Oryzias latipes: one gene and its partners. The protein of the gene in region 1 purifies or fractionates together with the protein of each later gene. This does not show direct contact. Links are inferred from orthologs where the notes say so. Each region holds a gene or a part of one and is shown in the gene's direction. Other genes may lie near its edges.

What was found. Proteins that work in one complex are often made in the same cells at the same time.
Region 2: the proteins of histone H2A.Z (region 1) and mier1 purify together in Homo sapiens (affinity purification with mass spectrometry; 3 studies listed by BioGRID and IntAct, with this or other methods). This does not show direct contact. The link is inferred for Oryzias latipes from reciprocal best matches to the Homo sapiens genes H2AZ1 and MIER1.
Region 3: the proteins of histone H2A.Z (region 1) and actr6 purify together in Homo sapiens (affinity purification with mass spectrometry; 4 studies listed by BioGRID and IntAct, with this or other methods). This does not show direct contact. The link is inferred for Oryzias latipes from reciprocal best matches to the Homo sapiens genes H2AZ1 and ACTR6.
Region 4: the proteins of histone H2A.Z (region 1) and acidic leucine-rich nuclear phosphoprotein 32 family member E purify together in Homo sapiens (affinity purification with mass spectrometry; 4 studies listed by BioGRID and IntAct, with this or other methods). This does not show direct contact. The link is inferred for Oryzias latipes from reciprocal best matches to the Homo sapiens genes H2AZ1 and ANP32E.

Annotation. Positions count from the first base shown.
Region 1 is NC_019876.2:29,622,106-29,626,055, reverse strand, and holds histone H2A.Z, read left to right. Parts: upstream 1-1,146; 5' UTR 1,147-1,670; coding exon 1,671-1,673; intron 1,674-1,905; coding exon 1,906-1,983; intron 1,984-2,094; coding exon 2,095-2,208; intron 2,209-2,975; coding exon 2,976-3,105; intron 3,106-3,181; coding exon 3,182-3,243; 3' UTR 3,244-3,778; downstream 3,779-3,950. UniProt on the Homo sapiens protein: Variant histone H2A which replaces conventional H2A in a subset of nucleosomes. Nucleosomes wrap and compact DNA into chromatin, limiting DNA accessibility to the cellular machineries which require DNA as a template.
Region 2 is NC_019875.2:16,593,189-16,597,279, forward strand, and holds the start of mier1 (mesoderm induction early response protein 1), read left to right. Parts: upstream 1-1,289; 5' UTR 1,290-1,319; coding exon 1,320-1,328; intron 1,329-1,364; exon of another isoform or gene 1,365-1,492; intron 1,493-2,427; coding exon 2,428-2,461; intron 2,462-2,713; coding exon 2,714-2,862; intron 2,863-3,649; coding exon 3,650-3,844; intron 3,845-4,091. UniProt on the Homo sapiens protein: Transcriptional repressor regulating the expression of a number of genes including SP1 target genes. Probably functions through recruitment of HDAC1 a histone deacetylase involved in chromatin silencing.
Region 3 is NC_019864.2:26,969,196-26,973,275, forward strand, and holds the start of actr6 (actin-related protein 6), read left to right. Parts: upstream 1-1,278; 5' UTR 1,279-1,407; coding exon 1,408-1,475; intron 1,476-2,381; coding exon 2,382-2,499; intron 2,500-2,569; coding exon 2,570-2,638; intron 2,639-2,721; coding exon 2,722-2,845; intron 2,846-3,288; coding exon 3,289-3,424; intron 3,425-3,493; coding exon 3,494-3,550; intron 3,551-3,621; coding exon 3,622-3,720; intron 3,721-3,840; coding exon 3,841-3,919; intron 3,920-4,080. UniProt on the Homo sapiens protein: Required for formation and/or maintenance of proper nucleolar structure and function. Plays a dual role in the regulation of ribosomal DNA (rDNA) transcription.
Region 4 is NC_019874.2:32,438,062-32,442,282, forward strand, and holds the start of acidic leucine-rich nuclear phosphoprotein 32 family member E, read left to right. Parts: upstream 1-1,419; 5' UTR 1,420-1,517; coding exon 1,518-1,571; intron 1,572-2,862; coding exon 2,863-3,012; intron 3,013-3,196; coding exon 3,197-3,319; intron 3,320-3,387; coding exon 3,388-3,535; intron 3,536-3,690; coding exon 3,691-3,809; intron 3,810-3,894; coding exon 3,895-3,961; intron 3,962-4,221. UniProt on the Homo sapiens protein: Histone chaperone that specifically mediates the genome-wide removal of histone H2A.Z/H2AZ1 from the nucleosome: removes H2A.Z/H2AZ1 from its normal sites of deposition, especially from enhancer and insulator regions.

The DNA of each region.
Region 1 (3,950 bases):
TAAGGGTTCAAACCCCGCAGATGTACGTCTGACCAGCACCCGCCCTGCAGGCAGTGGACAGCTGCTGTTGGCTGGGGGGCACTGTGGTCTGAAGGATAGTACCCGGTGTGAATGTGGGGGTCCATCACAAACTCCGGATGCTCAAACACTGGCTGAGGTCCCAAGGTCTCAGCGACCTTCATACTGACCCGCCTGAATGACTGACAGCAGCAGAGATGACGGTTTTAGCGAGATAATTCCAGAGGAATGACGCTGCTTCTTTTTTAAAACCAAGATGTTTATTCAAAAGTGAACAGGCAGCTTTACAACTGACACATGAAGCTAGGACAGATGGGTGGAGTGGAACCCCTGACTGCCCTCTGGTGGCCACAGGTCAACATGACATCCACAACACTGCTGAGCAGTTTTGCACGTTTGTTCATTTTGTATTTTTGGAGACTGTCTGTGTTTTTATCAGGCCCGTTTCTAGCTTTTGTGGGGGCCCAGGCAAAATGCTGTTTGGGGGTCTCCATGTTGTAAAACTGTAATGAGGAGATTTGTAACCCCTTTGGTCAACTAAGATGGCACAATATATTACACTTCACAATGTTAAATTGAAAGACTTCAGCAAAACTGTGTGACATAATAATAATTAAAATAAATAATAATAATAATAGGGGCTGCACGGTGGCGCAGTGGTTAGCGCTCTTGCCTCACAGCAAGAAGGCCTCCAGTTCAAGTCCCAGCTGGGTGACATGAAAAACACAACATCAATGGGGGACCTTTCTGTGTGGAGTTTGCATTTTCTCCCCGTGCATGCGTGGGTTTTCTCCAGGATCTCCAGTTTCCTCCCACCGTCCAAAACATGCTTCAAAGGTTGATTGGCAACTCTAAATTTTCCATAGGTGTGAGAGTGAATGGGTGTGTGATTGAGGATATTCTACCCTGGGACAGACTGGCGACCTGTCCAGGGCATCCCTTGCCTTAGCCCAAGTGGCTGGGATAGGCTCCAGCAACCCCATGACCCCAAAAGGGAATAAACAGTGAAGAAGATGAATTAATAATAATAATAATTATACAAAGTAATAATAATACCAACACAACAACAACAATGATGACAATAATCAGGAACAGCTTATTATTGCAGGTTTTCAAAATATATTTTATTTTATTTATAGCCAACTTTTTATCTGTTACAGTATAAGGAGTTTAATAAACAAAAGAAAACATCTACAGGTAAAAATAGAGGTGTTATTCTCCTCAGAAGAATAACACAGGGGAAGAATCAGTGGAGATTGTTCTGTGTCATTGTGAACTGTATGGGGAAGAAAGACGACAGCTGGAGAATAGAGTTCATAGAGGTGAACGGCTGAGTTTTAAAGAAGCTTTTGGGAGGGGAGGAGAATTTAAGTGGTGCATTATAGGTTTTTATGAGCAGAACCAGATTATTGAGGAGAATATAGTTTGTTTTTTGGTTAGATATTCCCCAACTACGATCCATCCTCCAATACAGCAGGTGGCGGTACTGCCCTTGTCGTTGGTGCCTCCCGCCATTTAAACTACAAGAAGAAGAAGAAAAAGCAGCAGAAGAAGAAGCCCCGCTGGCTAACGGCTGTTTTCTAAGGCCATCACCGGACGCAGCTATACCGATTTCAGCGCGTACTTTTGAATCCAAGTGATACTTTGGCATCATGGTAAGTAATTCCCGACCGTTTAACGACCGACATAACCGGACCGAAACCCCTCTGTCCGGTAGTCCGCGCGGGCCCGAGCATCAACGTCTGTGGCGCCTAAATGTGGTACAAGCTAGCGTTAGCTTAGCATGCTAACCACCAAGTTTTTCCCGCGGAGTCGTAAAATAAACGATCTGGATCACCGAGCGCCGTTACCGGCCGTGGATCGACTCTGTGGTTGTGTGTTCTCCAGGCTGGCGGTAAGGCTGGGAAGGACTCCGGGAAGACGAAGACCAAGGCGATTTCGCGCTCGCAGAGAGCGGGACTCCAGGTCAGTTAGCGCCGCTCATTCATTCCCGCTGGCCCCGCCGCGGCCGGCCGTACTGGCGCGGGTCGGGGCGCTCCGCCTGTCGGTGAACGCTTGTATCCCTCCTCGCTGTAGTTCCCGGTGGGTCGCATCCACAGACATCTCAAGTCTCGAACCACGAGCCACGGCAGAGTGGGGGCCACCGCCGCCGTGTACAGCGCGGCCATCCTGGAGTACCTGACCGCAGAGGTAAGACCGGCTGCAGCATGTGGCGAAAAGTCATCTAAAAGAGAGTTTTCCAAATGTATAAGGATCATCCAGATGGGTCAAAATAAGAAAGATACGGCGTTTGAAGTGAAGGGCGGAATTTGATTCCTGAAATATAAGGGAAAAGGCAAAAGTTTTGTGACCCGAATCACAGATGAGAGTTCTTAGTGTGATAACTTTATCCTTAAAATCCAAGAAAGAGGCATCATTGCTAAGATATTCAAACGAACTACAGGAAACGACAATGAAACTGTTATTTAATCAAAAGTACGACATTCTAAAAGTACTTCACTAAGCTACATCTGATCCTTTGTTGGTGGACAGTGGCTGCAGCCAATCAGCGTACTCCAAACCGGTCACATGACCTCATGTCCCAGCATGCACTGCTTGCAAACGAAAAAACAGTACCTACTAACTTCTTTTATTAAAACAGCAAAAATCGACTAGTTTCAAAATTAGACACCAACTAACTTACTGTAGAAAGTTGAAGAGGGATTTTGAGAACCAAGATATTCATCCGGAGAATTCCCTACGTTATACTGCAAGGATCGAAAAGATGTGAGAAGCAGATCAAAGACGAGTTTATCGACTTTTATACTTTATGTTACCTACCGATCTAACTGTTTATTCAACGAGAGTGGACGCTGCAGCCGAGCGCACAGGTCTGATCACTGGTTTGGAGGAAACGTACCTGCGCCTCCTGCCGGCCGGCTCCCCTCTGCTCCTTCTGAGGTTTTGGCTTTCCACAGGTCCTGGAGCTGGCAGGAAATGCATCAAAGGACCTGAAGGTGAAGAGAATCACTCCACGCCACTTGCAGCTCGCCATCAGAGGAGACGAGGAGCTGGATTCTCTCATTAAGGCCACCATTGCCGGCGGAGGTGAGTGGGGGCTTCACCTGGACGTCCCGGGCTGACTAAGCCCCGCCCCGGTCTGAACAGGTGTCCTGTCTTTCAGGTGTGATCCCGCACATCCACAAGTCCCTGATCGGGAAGAAGGGCCAGCAGAAGACGGTATAACCCAAGTGCTCTGAACATTGTGCCATCTCAGGAGGACGTCAGCATCCAGTGTTCAATGTCGTAGATTAGAAAACTTTTCACGATTTTTATGGTTGAATTTGTGTCTACTCACCCGGGGTATTTTTTTTTTAAAGTGGCTTCAGAGAAGCTCTTTGTCCCTTTGGCCTTTCCTGGTGTTGCAAGCGTCTGTGTTCCACTCGCTAACGTGGCGTTTCCATGTTCAGTGGTGTTTTAATGAAGCAGCTTTCAGTTTTCTAACCTGGCTGCAGGACGAGGGGTCAGGAGGTCGACCATCGGCGGCTGAGGCGTGCATGTGGGAAAGACCCCAAACATTTGAAGATGCGTGTGAACTGATGCATGAGTGGCAGCACACGTTTATGCTGGAGTTCCCGCTGCACAGGCGTGGTCAAGGCTCCCTGCTGCGTCCTTTTCTGTATTAAATTTTATGTGGAGACGGTCTCTTTGTTTTAATTCCTGACGATGCTTCTTCATGCTTCTTTTCCCACGTTTTCTATAAAGCAGTTTTTGGCTTTGATTTCTGTGGTTTTTCAGTCATTGCAGGTCTGGTGTGATGGATGCTATCGCTCTGAAATGACCTTTAACCTCTAGCAGAAAAACATTTCCTATTAAACTGAAGTTGAGCTGTTTCAAAGACGAGTCTTTTGCAGAGTACTGTGAAGTCTATCAGCTGGTTTAATCTAAACTCT
Region 2 (4,091 bases), on another chromosome or scaffold:
GGCTAACCATGATGTAAAAATATCACAAACAAGAGAGAGGAGATTCCTTAGCTTCAGCCACTCTTTTGGAAAAGCAATGCCAAGTCCAGAATATCATGTCATTTTCTGTTGGATTCTTTTTCTATCATGATAAAAACAGAAGTTATAGTAACAGGAATGTGTGCATGTTGTGAGAGACATGTTTCATTTGGAATTAAATTATTGAAAATGATATTTTGTTTATTAAGACAAATGTTTTTCACAGTTGCAAGAGACAGCAAAAATATGTTTTGGTATTTTAAAAAACTACTTTCAAGCATTTTTTCCCCCTTAGTTTTTGTAGATTTGGTTTCAGGAAAATTAAATGTACGTGCAAATGCAAGATTTGGGGATTTTGATTGGGGTGCATTTAAAATTTGATGGCAGGGATGTAAAACGTCCTCCAATTCTGGAATGACCTGTGTGTTTACACACACAAAATACAAAAGACTGAATCAAGTTTGATTCATAAGGTTACCAACTTGACTTTGTATCAAATGCATAATAAAGGAAACCAATAGCCATTAAAACAATTTCACAACAACTTAAACATTCTGGTATTAACTAATGTAAAACTCTAGTGTTGGCCATGTTTCTATTGCTGTGCTTGAGTCTAAACTTTTGATTTTATATATTTAAATATAAAACTCAAAATCACATTTTGTCATTATTGTTTATTATTATCATCATTTTATATGTATTGATTGATTTATTGGGGTTTTAATTTTTCTTCATTTATTTATTTCAGGAAGTAATCCGGTAAAACTTTTTTCATATAATTTTTATTGAACTTCAAACAAACATATACACATAGATACAGATGAAAGAAATAAAAAAGAATAAATTACACATAAAATTATTTTAATAAAAACAATATAAAATAAAAATATAACATTAAAATTGTAGTTTACAATACTAGGGATTGTCATACAACATGTGATCTTCAATGAAAGATAATTGTATTGCGTTTTTTGTTATTTATTATGTTCAGAGATTTAAAATATAAACTGATCTCTTTTTGAAATTTATTGAGTAATGGGTTTGGTTTTTGAAAATCTGCTCTTATGAATGAAAAATTTCCCAGATATTAATAAAGTATTGAATGTCAAATCAAATAGATCATCACCAGAAACTACTCCAAATAATATGATGTGCTTTTGTAATTGAATAAAAATAGGAATAGGAAGTAATCCGCTTCATTTGAGCCGCATTGCTTTATGACTGTTGATACCGCAGGTAGGCGGAGCTTCACATCCGGGTGCTGAAGCTGACCCCTGACGTGACCCTGCAGGATTACAAACATGGCGGAGGTAAGAAAGTCTTATACATTTTCACTAAAATTATTTTCTTCTTGTGGGCGGCTGGTTCAGCCAGATTTACTCACACTCCCCTGCTGTAGCTTTTGAACACGACACGGAACGTCAGCGTTTTGTCTCGCTGGACGGGCGCCATTTTTTGGATCCAGACATGTTTGGTAAACTTTGAGCTTAGCTAACGTTAGCTGCGGCGTTAGCGACTATGTTCCGCGGTTTTTGTTTAAAAATAAATTATCAACAAAGGATTTCGTTTTTTCATAAACATAATTCTAAAAGTTTTTTTAAATAACTGTAATTTACGCGTTTTCTTTTCTTTTTCACCTGAAATCTATAAATAGCGAGCTTAAATTAGGAATGCTTTAGCAAAAAAACGAGTAAAGATTATTTAGCTTGCAAAAATTGTAATTTCAATTAGTATGAATAAAGTTTGTCAGCGCTTATTTCTAGAATATTCCTTATAGTTAAAGATGATGCATTTTTAAATTTTGGAATTTATTATAAATTTATATTTACTTATTTATCATATTTTGTCGGAAAAAGACGTGAAATTTATCGTTTTTTTCTTTTTTGTTGTTTCTGAGGTGTTGTAGGAATTTAATTGTACATTTATATTTTCTTATGCCACTTATATTAAACAAAACCCCGCCACACGAACCTGATTATGTAAAGCTGTTCAGCAGCGAACGGTTTCAGTTTCACATCCCATGAATTATTCATTTTATGCCTGTTTTTTTTTTAACCTTTAATACTTACATTTGAGATTTTTTGGTTTTTAAGATTTTGAGAGAGAGAGAGAGAGAGATTTATTTCGGTAATGTACAAACACAATCCTAAAACGTCAACATAAATGTTGAAGAAAATTTTACCTAAAGCAAATAATCCTCCTAATTTTTTGTTTTTTATTCCCACTTGTTACATGTTTGGCTCTTGTTTTGTTGTCATGTATTTTTTTATTCATGTTGTGTGTATTTCTGTCTTGTATTGTCTCATTCAGTACATCTTTGTGTTATGATGCCTGGATGTGTTCTGTAATGGTTTCATCTGTATTGAACTTTTTTATTTGACTAACTTTTCTTCCTTTTTTTCTCTCTAGCCTTCGCTGGGGAACTCGAGCCCAGGTACACATGGTACTAAATGCTTACACATAATTTGTAGAGGAATTTGTTTAAAAAAATAAAAAGTAAAAGCTGGTTTCCCCATCTTTGTTCTTATTTTAATGGTCTCTAAGGCATACATACATTCTGGGCTGTTTTGTTAATATTTAGGGTTACACAATATTTTGTTATGTCAAATTTCTAAAATTGGTATTATATATTGATAAATGACTTTTTGGTTCAAAAATGCTCCTTTGTTTCCTTTTTTTACTTGCACTTTCCAAGGAGGTTCAGCAGGTTCTGATGACCATGATTTTGACCCCACCGCTGAGATGCTGGTGCATGACTTTGATGATGAACGCACACTGGAGGAGGAAGAAAGGCTGGAGGCGACAGACGACACCAATGTTAATGAGATTGAAGACCTTGCACGGGTTTGTTTTATTTTAAATTGTAAGACCTTTTGCTAAATGTAATGTTATATTTCTGGTGGTATTTATTATAGTTATGAAAACCCTGTTTGTTTGTGTGTTTTTAACCTGATTTTTAAAATTTGTCTTTAATCTAGTGTGATATTTTTAATTGAAATAGTTACTTTTAACTTGTAACTAATAATGGGAATGATATATTATTCATGGATCTGATATATTTTTACATAAACGAACACATTTTCATTTCCCATCATTGTAATGCTGCGTTAACTCCAAACACGATTTGCGTCGGCCGCCTATGTTTGGAAGCGTGGCTTGTGGGAGGAGCTACCACCAAATGTTTTTGGCCTGATTGCTACAGGGAGCGGTGTCTGTGTGCATCTCATTTACGATGCATGGAAGACCCCACTTTGTCAAAGTTCAGAGATTTGAACTCTGGACGCAACACTCAAATGGCGCTGCTGCCGGACCGACGTGCCGCGCCCGATGCCCAAATCGCGCCACAGGGCCTCTGACAGCATTTGAATATTGATTTAACCTTGAAACTGGACGTCTTTATCACACCAATAACGTTTTTCCTCCTGGTCACAACCTTTAGGCTAATTTTAAAATTGAAAAAGTTCAATCTCTCCTAAAGAAAGATAGACAAACAACAAACTTGTTTTTTTCTATAAACTGAGGATTTAATAGATTCACATTGTGTCAGAGGGCAACTTTCATCACCATTCAATGTCTTACTGTGAATCAGTAATAATAGGAAGTGAACTAAACTCAGCTTTATTTTTAATAGGAAGGTGAGATGCCCATACATGAGCTGCTGAGCCTTTATGGCTATGGGGGTAGATCACCAGCAGAGGAGGAAGAGGAGGAGGAGGAAGAGGAGGAGGAAGAACCTGAGGATGAGGACGACGAGGAAGAGGACGAAGAGGAGGATCTTGATAACGATGAAAGCAGCAGAAGCACTGGGGAGCTGAAAAGAACTGAGGTAGTTTTTAGCTGTGGTCTCACTGGTTTGCGGATTTTTTTCAATGCAATTTAGTATGTTTTTTAATTTTTTTTAACAGCAGGTTGTGTCCTGCGTCCTGATTGGCTGTAGGCCTTTGCCAATCAATATCTTCTGTGCCGTGGCTCTATAATCTGTTCAGTTTGCCAAATTTACAATTTTGATCGCGAGCAGATCTCTTTCATTCCAAAATACTGGACTTATTTTTCTTTGAAAGTTTAAACTTTGA
Region 3 (4,080 bases), on another chromosome or scaffold:
GGTGCTTTTTAAAATTCATATGTTCAGACAGGTATGCTAGAGTAAACAGTGACACCGACATCATGTGTGCCCAATCAATCAGAAGATATAAGTGTAGAATTTGTTGAAAATTGTAAAGACCCCAAATTCCCACTTTTGGAATATGGAATGACGTCCAGCAGCAGGGTAATGGTACATACGCTTGTTCTCTCTCCAAATGTTTGGCCTCAGATACAGTCAATGTGTCTGTTTTTGGAGGAAGTCATCTTACACATTATTTATGTTGAAAAATAAAAATCGGTCTTTACCACAATAAGTCTGTTCAATAAACAAGGTCAAAGAAATTTAATTTACACTACTGGACAAATTTTATCCCGCAAAACATTATCTAAATTTAGAGTTGACTTAAACAACAGCTGTACTTTCTGACAGAAAAATCCTGAAACATGTTCTCATTTATTTTGGTCATGTGAATTTACTGACACATTCTGGAAAAAGAGCCACAAATTCATTACTGACTCTGTTTTTGCTGATTTTTAACTTTATTATAAAAACGTGATTTTTGGTTTTAAACAATTTAATCACAAAGATAGTGGTTCTTTCTTTTTTCTAACTGTGATTCTATTTCTGGAAAAATTTCAAAATCTCAAAGGTAAATTTTCTAATGAAGTACCTTAACTTTTCTTGCTTTTCTTACTGAAAATGGAACTCCAGCAATAAAATGTATTCAATAAAACTAATCTAGTTCCATTGTGGTTTTTTTTTCCTTTCTCTTTGTGGATTTTTTCTTTTGATATACTTTGATGCTAATTTTATAAAATGTTTTTGTTTTCAACAGAAGCTAAAAACGTAAATAATAATAATAACTTCTATTTTGGAGTTGTGTTATGTTCTTACATTGTACTTTTATAGTGTTATATTTTTGTACTGTATTCTTCCAGCATTCAATAAAAAAAAATTAAAAATAAAAAAATAAAAAAAAGATGAGAAAAAAGGCAGATTGTTTGCTAAGTTTGTCAAATCTTCCTATTTGAAGAGAGTCCTAATTTTTTTTAATCATGTTTTTCTTTAATTACTTTATATAGAGAGAGGCGGGGACATGTTAATAGCGTATTTAGTTAGTTTGACAAACGAAAAATTCATTTATGTTAAAATATCTAAAAAGTGGAACTGTGACAGGAATGTGTTTCTGCACGAGCCACTTTTTCAGGAGGTACTTTGGCTTGTTCTTTGATTGGCTGAAAGAAAAAGATTACGCAGATGTGATTGGCTTTCCATCGTCCGGAAGAAAGATGAAAGACTGAATGTGATTGGCTAGAAGGAACAATTCTGAATGGTGGCTGATTTAGCCCGATCAGTTTACAATGTGCTTTTTGTGTAGTTACGACTTAAAAAACTAAATAGTTATTTAAATGTTTTTCTTCTAAAATGGCTACCTTAGTTTTGGATAATGGCGCGTACACGGCGAAGATCGGTTACAGTCTGGAGAAAGTCAGGTGAGGTTACTTTGTTTTAGCAAGGCTAACTTCACAGATGACGATGATGCTTTCAATCAATATTGCGTTTTTTTTTATTTCCCGAAAGATTAAAACCTCATTCCACTGGAAAACGTTTGTTTGTTGCACTGTGACATAAAGTCATGGGACTGAGTGTAGGGGGGTAATAGCAGTAAGCTATAAACGTTACAACAGAGATTTACCCTCGAACGAATCGAATGCGGCAAAATTGCTTTTCTTGTCAGGCAAACACATTATGACTTTTACTTTGGTAAATCAAAGAACAATTTTGCAAAAATGGACATAGGAAAACAAAAGGTTTTTTTTTCCAAGTTCTTTTTGGTACTCAAACCTTAGACTTAGAATACTCCAAATATTTTGTCTGTTACAGGTACTATTAGGTTACAGGTTCCCCTGTTTCTATTATTGGCAACAGTTTTTGTTTGTTTATGCATTTGTGATCTGAGTTTGTGCTAATCTGGTAGCAGAATCTTCAGATCCTAAGATACTTTTATTGTTCGCAAACAAAAGTATTGTGAGGATGTTGTGAAAATATTCTATGTAATAAAAAAAATCTAGCTTTGCATGTGAACACAAACTTAACTTTGTTAGGAAGGGAAACTGTCAATATTTGTGTCGTGATGTTTAGTCTCCGTTATGTTTTTGTCTACTGAATTTCATCTACAAAAGTCTTTGTTTTCTCCATTCTTCTGATTGAACCAGTAGAAGATTTAGTGACACTTTTTTACCCTTTTTCTTCAGATGTGGGAAGTTTATTTAGGTTTTTTTTCACGTTTTTATGCCAGATCTCTAGCATTTGTGTGGGTTGAAGATCTTACTGGATGTGACGTTTTTACATTTTGTTTTTTCCAATTTAACTTGGTTTCTGTCTTTATTTTTCTTCAGCGTGATTCCCAACTGTCAGTTTCGCTCAAAGAATTCCCGGCTAAAAACGTTCACGGCGAATCAGCTGGATGAGATCAAAGATCCGTCGGGTCTCTTTTACATCCTCCCCTTTCAGAAGGTGAGGTTGCCTCTGCAGGTCCAGTGCAGGTTGGGTAACAGTTTCTTACTAGGTGCTCATGTCTGTGCAGGGTTACCTGGTCAACTGGGATGTTCAGAGGAAGGTGTGGGATCACCTTTTTGGAAAGGAGATGTTTAAGGTGCACTTGTCCGTTTTTGTATGTTAGTCATGCATGTAGTTAAGTAGGCTCTTCCAGCTGCTGACTATGAGTTCCTTGTGTAGGTTGACTTTGCAGACACCAGCATCATCATCACAGAGCCATACTTCAACTTCACCTCCATCCAGGAGTCCATGAATGAGATCCTCTTTGAAGAATACCAGTTTCAGTCTGCTCTTCGAATCAATGGTGAGTTCATCAAATGACCAGAATATCAAACAAGCGCATTTAAAAAGAGTTTATAGGAATATGTTTATCTCAAAGAGTCATTTTTATGTAGGAAAAATAGGTTTTGACAGGGAATTTAAAAAACGTTAAGAAGAGAGCATTTTAAAAGTTTGAGCAAAGTTTTAACACAGGTTTTGAAGAATCACGCAGATAAATACTAAAAGATCATTAAGTAAGAACAAGCATCCTCTTTGACTTACAAAAAAAGATTTCCTCCTGGTTTCAAAATAAAAGCAGACATTTTCATTCTGTGGTCCAAAAACGACCACAGTGGCTGCAATGATGTCTCACATGAATTGTGCTGTTAACTCGATGCTCAGACAAAATCAAGGTTAGAATATGGAGTCGTTTTGCTCTAATGAAAGAACAGAGATTTGACATTTACTGCCTTTGTTCTCCTCCAGGTGGCTCTCTGAGCGCTCATCACTGCTTCCACTCCAAACCGTCTGAGCTCTGCTGCCTGGTGGTGGACTCTGGGTTCTCCTTCACACACATCGCCCCCTACTGCCGCAGCAAGAAACTGAATCATGGCATCCGCAGGTAAGACTGTGCTGTCTTATGGCCCTTATGACCGTGAGAATACCAACTGTAAACACTTTTGTGTTTCAGAATCAATGTTGGGGGAAAACTGCTCACCAATCACTTAAAAGAAATCATCTCCTATCGGTGGGTTTGTGTCTGCAGCTTTACGTTTATCAAATAAGTTACTGAATAATTCTTTGCAACGACTTCTCCAGCCAGCTGCACGTGATGGATGAAACTCATGTGATCAACCAGGTGAAGGAGGACGTCTGCTACGTCTCACAGCAGTTTTACAAAGACATGGAGATCGCGCAGTAAGACAGATGCACGTCTATTGTTGCTGGTCCACCTGTGTGATGTTAAACGTGTCTCAGAGACATTCACCAGACTTTTTAAAGAAAAGGAGAACCCTTTCACATTTACTGTGTTTGCAGACTGAGAGGTGAGGACAACGATTTGATGAGAGACTATGTTCTTCCTGACTTCAGCGCCATCAAAAAAGGCTTTTGCAAGGTGAGATGCTCTCATCTCCTCTCCTTTGTGACATAACGGGCATTCAAAATGAAAAATAACCCAAAAGAATATCCATTATATTAATATTTAAACTGTTGCATTGGTTTTCTCTGGGCACTCCGGCTTCCTCCCAGTCCAAAAACATGCTTCAGATGTTTATT
Region 4 (4,221 bases), on another chromosome or scaffold:
CACGGGGTCCTGGACCGGATGTGATGCTCAGAGACGGACTCTACATCCTGAGAACCATCTTCTGGTTCTCCAGACCAGGTTCTCATCCGGAGCATCGTTCTTCTTCAAACCTGGGAACAGTTCTGGTTCCTGAAGCTTCCGCTGAACAGAACTTTGTTCTGCATATCAGAGATGAAAGAGGTTCTCTGAAGGCAGTCCACTCCTCACCTGCCAGCCGCCTGAAGACCCCAAAGCGGGGGCTCTCTGCCAGCTCCCTGAAGTTCTCCTGGTCTCCCTGACCTTCCTGCAGGTCACGCAGAGCCTCCATCGTGGACTGAGCGGTCAGACTGAGCCCCCATTCTGTAAATATGAGACCGGTTTGTCCTTCTCACCTCCTCAGAACCTGCATGAAGAGTCCCGAAGCTCCACCCAGACAGGAAGTCTGAAGATGATGTAGTGACATCACTTCCTGTTGAACTACAACAATTTACTGTTAAATTGTTACAGTTTATTTATTGATGTCATTTCGGAACCAGAAGATCTCCACTGAGCATGCTCAGTTCCTTTTTAACTCCCTCAACGCTCTCTTGATGATCACCTTTTATCTAACTCCTCCCCATGAGTCATGACTCCTCCCCATGAGTCATGACTCCTCCCCATGAGTCATGACTCCTCCCCATTAGTCGTGACTCCTCCCCATGAGTTATGACTCCTCCCCATGAGTCATGACTCCTCCCCATTATTCGTGACTCCTCCCCATGAGTCATGACTCCTCCCCATGAGTCATGACTCCTCCCCATTATTCGTGACTCCTCCCCATGAGTTATGACTCCTCCCCATGAGTCATGACTCCTCCTCTCACATCTTTCTGGATGGTCTGAGCATTTGCGGTTCTGTTGGACCTGCACTGATGGTGTTGAAGTTTTCTGTCTCTCCTCATTGCTCTGGTTGGATTGGCCTTCGCTCAGAGCAGCCGGGTCCGACCAGAACCAAACCCTGAGTTTGCTGTTATTTATTTCTGGCTGTGATTTCAGGTGTACATGTTTGTTTTTTAAGAAAACAGAATAAAACGACTGTTCTGAAACTGAACTGGATCTGTTTATCCAGCCAACCAGAACCGGAGCAGGTGGCGGTCCGATTCATGATGTTTTAAGACAGCAATCCCCTCAAAGGTGATTGATGTTCTCCTGATGAGTTCACGTTCTGCTCTGTAGAATAGGAAATCCCAGATTGATCTCGTGTTTGGGATCCTCTGGTTTCTTAGATCAGCCTGTTTCTACAGAAAGGGGAGGAGCCTAAACATTTTAAAAAAGGGTCTATCTTCGCATTCTCATTGGTCAGTCCTGACGTTCAGACCAATCGCGGTCAAGAGTATTCAGTCGTACGCTGTGGGGGCGGAGCTTCAGACCGAACCAATCAGATCCCACGTGGATCCGGAGCCTTTGAAATGCGTGAGGAGGCGTGTTCGCGACAGAGGACTGAGCCGCGCGTGCGCGCCATCTCTTTTGTTTTGCTACTTTCTGTGCTCCTGCTTCATCATGGAGATGAAGAAGAGGATCAGCCTCGAGCTCCGAAACCGAAGTCCCACCGAGGTGCGTGAGAATCCCGCAGCCGCTCCTGTTTTCTGCGTTAGCGGTAAAGACGCGCGCGCGTGTTCCGTCGTCTTAGCGCGAGCTACACCCGCGCGGCTCTAGTAGCGGAGCTCTGTTTCCCGCCCGCTCCACGTGCGGGTTTCCTGTGTTCCGTGGAGAAGCCTCGAGGCAGCTCCAGCTAGCTAGCTAATGTGGAGAAAGAGCCGCGAGCCGGTTTGGGTCTGTTTCGGTCGGGTTCCGTTGACTGTGTGCAGCGGGGCGACTTCCCGCCGTAGGATGATCGCGGTTCCGATGACAGTGGTGATCCTGACGAACCGCAGTTCTGCTGAAATGCTTCGGCGCCGTTTTAGCTTGAAGCTCCAGCTCGGTGAGTCTGTTCGGACCACTTTCAATGCGCATGCGCAGTCCAGTCTCGGAGCTGGATTTTTTCGATGCACGGCTGGCTGTTGGGGACCCGGGTGGGTTCGGTCCATTTCAAACAGCCTTCTGGCGGAATATCGGGCAGACGTGAGCTGAACCTCAGCCACGGTCCGAGACCAGGACGCGGGGAATGGACGGTACCGGTGGTCCTCGGTCCGTCTGCCTTCATTCTTAAGCCGTGCAGAGGTCAGGTTCGAAATGGGAGGTCAGGTTCGGAATGGGGAGCACCAACACAGATTAGCTTCTATAGGTACCACTCATTTATGGGACTTACTTTACTATACATATTCTATATTGTGGTAAACATGAGTTCACATACAGAACCCTACAAACATCTGGGCTCTATGGACCTAAACACTGCAGTTGTTCCAAAGGTCCAGAGCTCGGTTCTGGTCCAGACCTGTTGCCTGTCATCAAACGTCTGCAGTTTCGCTAACGGCCTGCAGGGGGCGCGGGAACGCCGAGGCCGTCTGGTTTCCATCATGGTGACGTATGAAAGCGTCATGGTGGTAAAACTGCTGGTGTCACGTGACTGCGGACGGCGGGCGGATGAAAAGGAAGAATAAATATTCATCCAATCAGCTGTGGCGCTGTGGATGGAGCTCTGGGGAAGTGCTGCACATCTGATTGGCTACCATGATGGCATGGCGTTAAAACTCCAAACACGCCTGGTGGAGCGTTTCCACATACGTCTAGGCTCTGAAGCTCTCTGGAGCAGACACTAAGGGGATTGTGAAATCCACCAGGACCGGTTCTGGACCAGAGCCCGGCTGGTAGACGAGGCCTCCTGTCCTCAGAGTGAAGCGGCCGCTCTGCGGCGCCGAAGGTGGGGTGTTGGCTGCAGGTCTGCTCAGCTGCCGTCTGCTTCCAGGTGGGGGAGCTGGTGGTGGACAACTGCCGCTCCAGCGACGGCGAGGTGGAAGGTCTGTCAGAGGAGTTCACGGAGCTGGAGGTCCTCAGCATGGTGAACGTGGGCCTCAGCTCGCTGTCCAAGATGCCCCTGCTGCCCAAACTGCAGAAGGTGAGGAGACGTGGTCATGACCGCAGCCTCAGGAGGTCTGACCTTCCTCCCAAACGTCTAAACTGAATGAAGGACGTTGACCTCAGAATGATGCAAACCAAATGGTTCCAGGTTCAGGTTGGTCTGAACCGCTCAGCCTTCCCGCCTTTTACAGCAGAACTGAGACCCGACTGCTGTGTTTCAGCTGGAGGTCAGTGAGAACTCCATCGGTGGGGGGCTGAACACGCTGGTGGAGAAGTGTCCTGGCCTGACCCACCTCAACCTCAGCAGCAACAAGCTGAAGGAGCTGAGCAGCCTGGAGCCGCTGGTAAGTGGCGCCTTCCTCTGGTCCTCCCAGGAGGTCCGCTGCTCACGGCGATGTCATGTGACCTGCAGCAGAGCCTGAAGGCCCTGAAGAGTCTGGACCTGTACGGCTGCGACGTGTCCTCTCTGGACGACTACAGGGAGCGCGTCTTCCAGCTGCTGCCACAGCTCACCTACCTGGACGGGTTCGACCAGGAGGACAACGAGGCGTCCGACAACGGTGAGGCGCCATCCGTCACAGTCTGAAGGTCGAGGAACCCGCTCTGCTGGTTCTTCAGAATAATCATGAAGGTCTAAGACAAACCTAAAGTTCTTGTTTGGTTCCGTCTGAACTCACCTGATCCGTTTCCTGTCAACACACTGGTTCTTTTCTAGATGAGGAGGAGGAGGCAGGTCCTCCCGGAGATGATGATGAGGAGGACGAAGATGATGAAGAGCACGGCTCTGAAGAAGAGGAAGTGGGGCTTTCCTACCTGATGAAGGACGGCATCCAGGTGTGCCACTGATCCAGATGGGGAGGGGGAGGGGGGGGGCTCCTTGTGACTGAGCGCAGTCAGCAGCTTCCTGTTTCTGTTGAAGGACGAAGACGATGATGGAGATTATGTTGAGGAGGAAGAGGACGAAGAGGATGAAGATGAGGATGGAGGTGAGTCTGTTCTCCTCCCTCACATGGACAGACCCTCCTGAAGTGATGAGGGGGGGTCTGGTTGAGAACCCGGTTCTCCTGGACCTGTAGGCTGACGCCACAGGTCAAAGCAGAGGAGGAAAGAGGCTCCGCCTTTTCTGCAGAGATGACATCATTCTGTTGAACTACAAATGAAGGAGGATGGACTACAGACACGTCACTTCCTGCTGCGTCATGCTAACACCTGTTTGCAGAAAAAGGTTCAGATCTCCTGCTGTTTG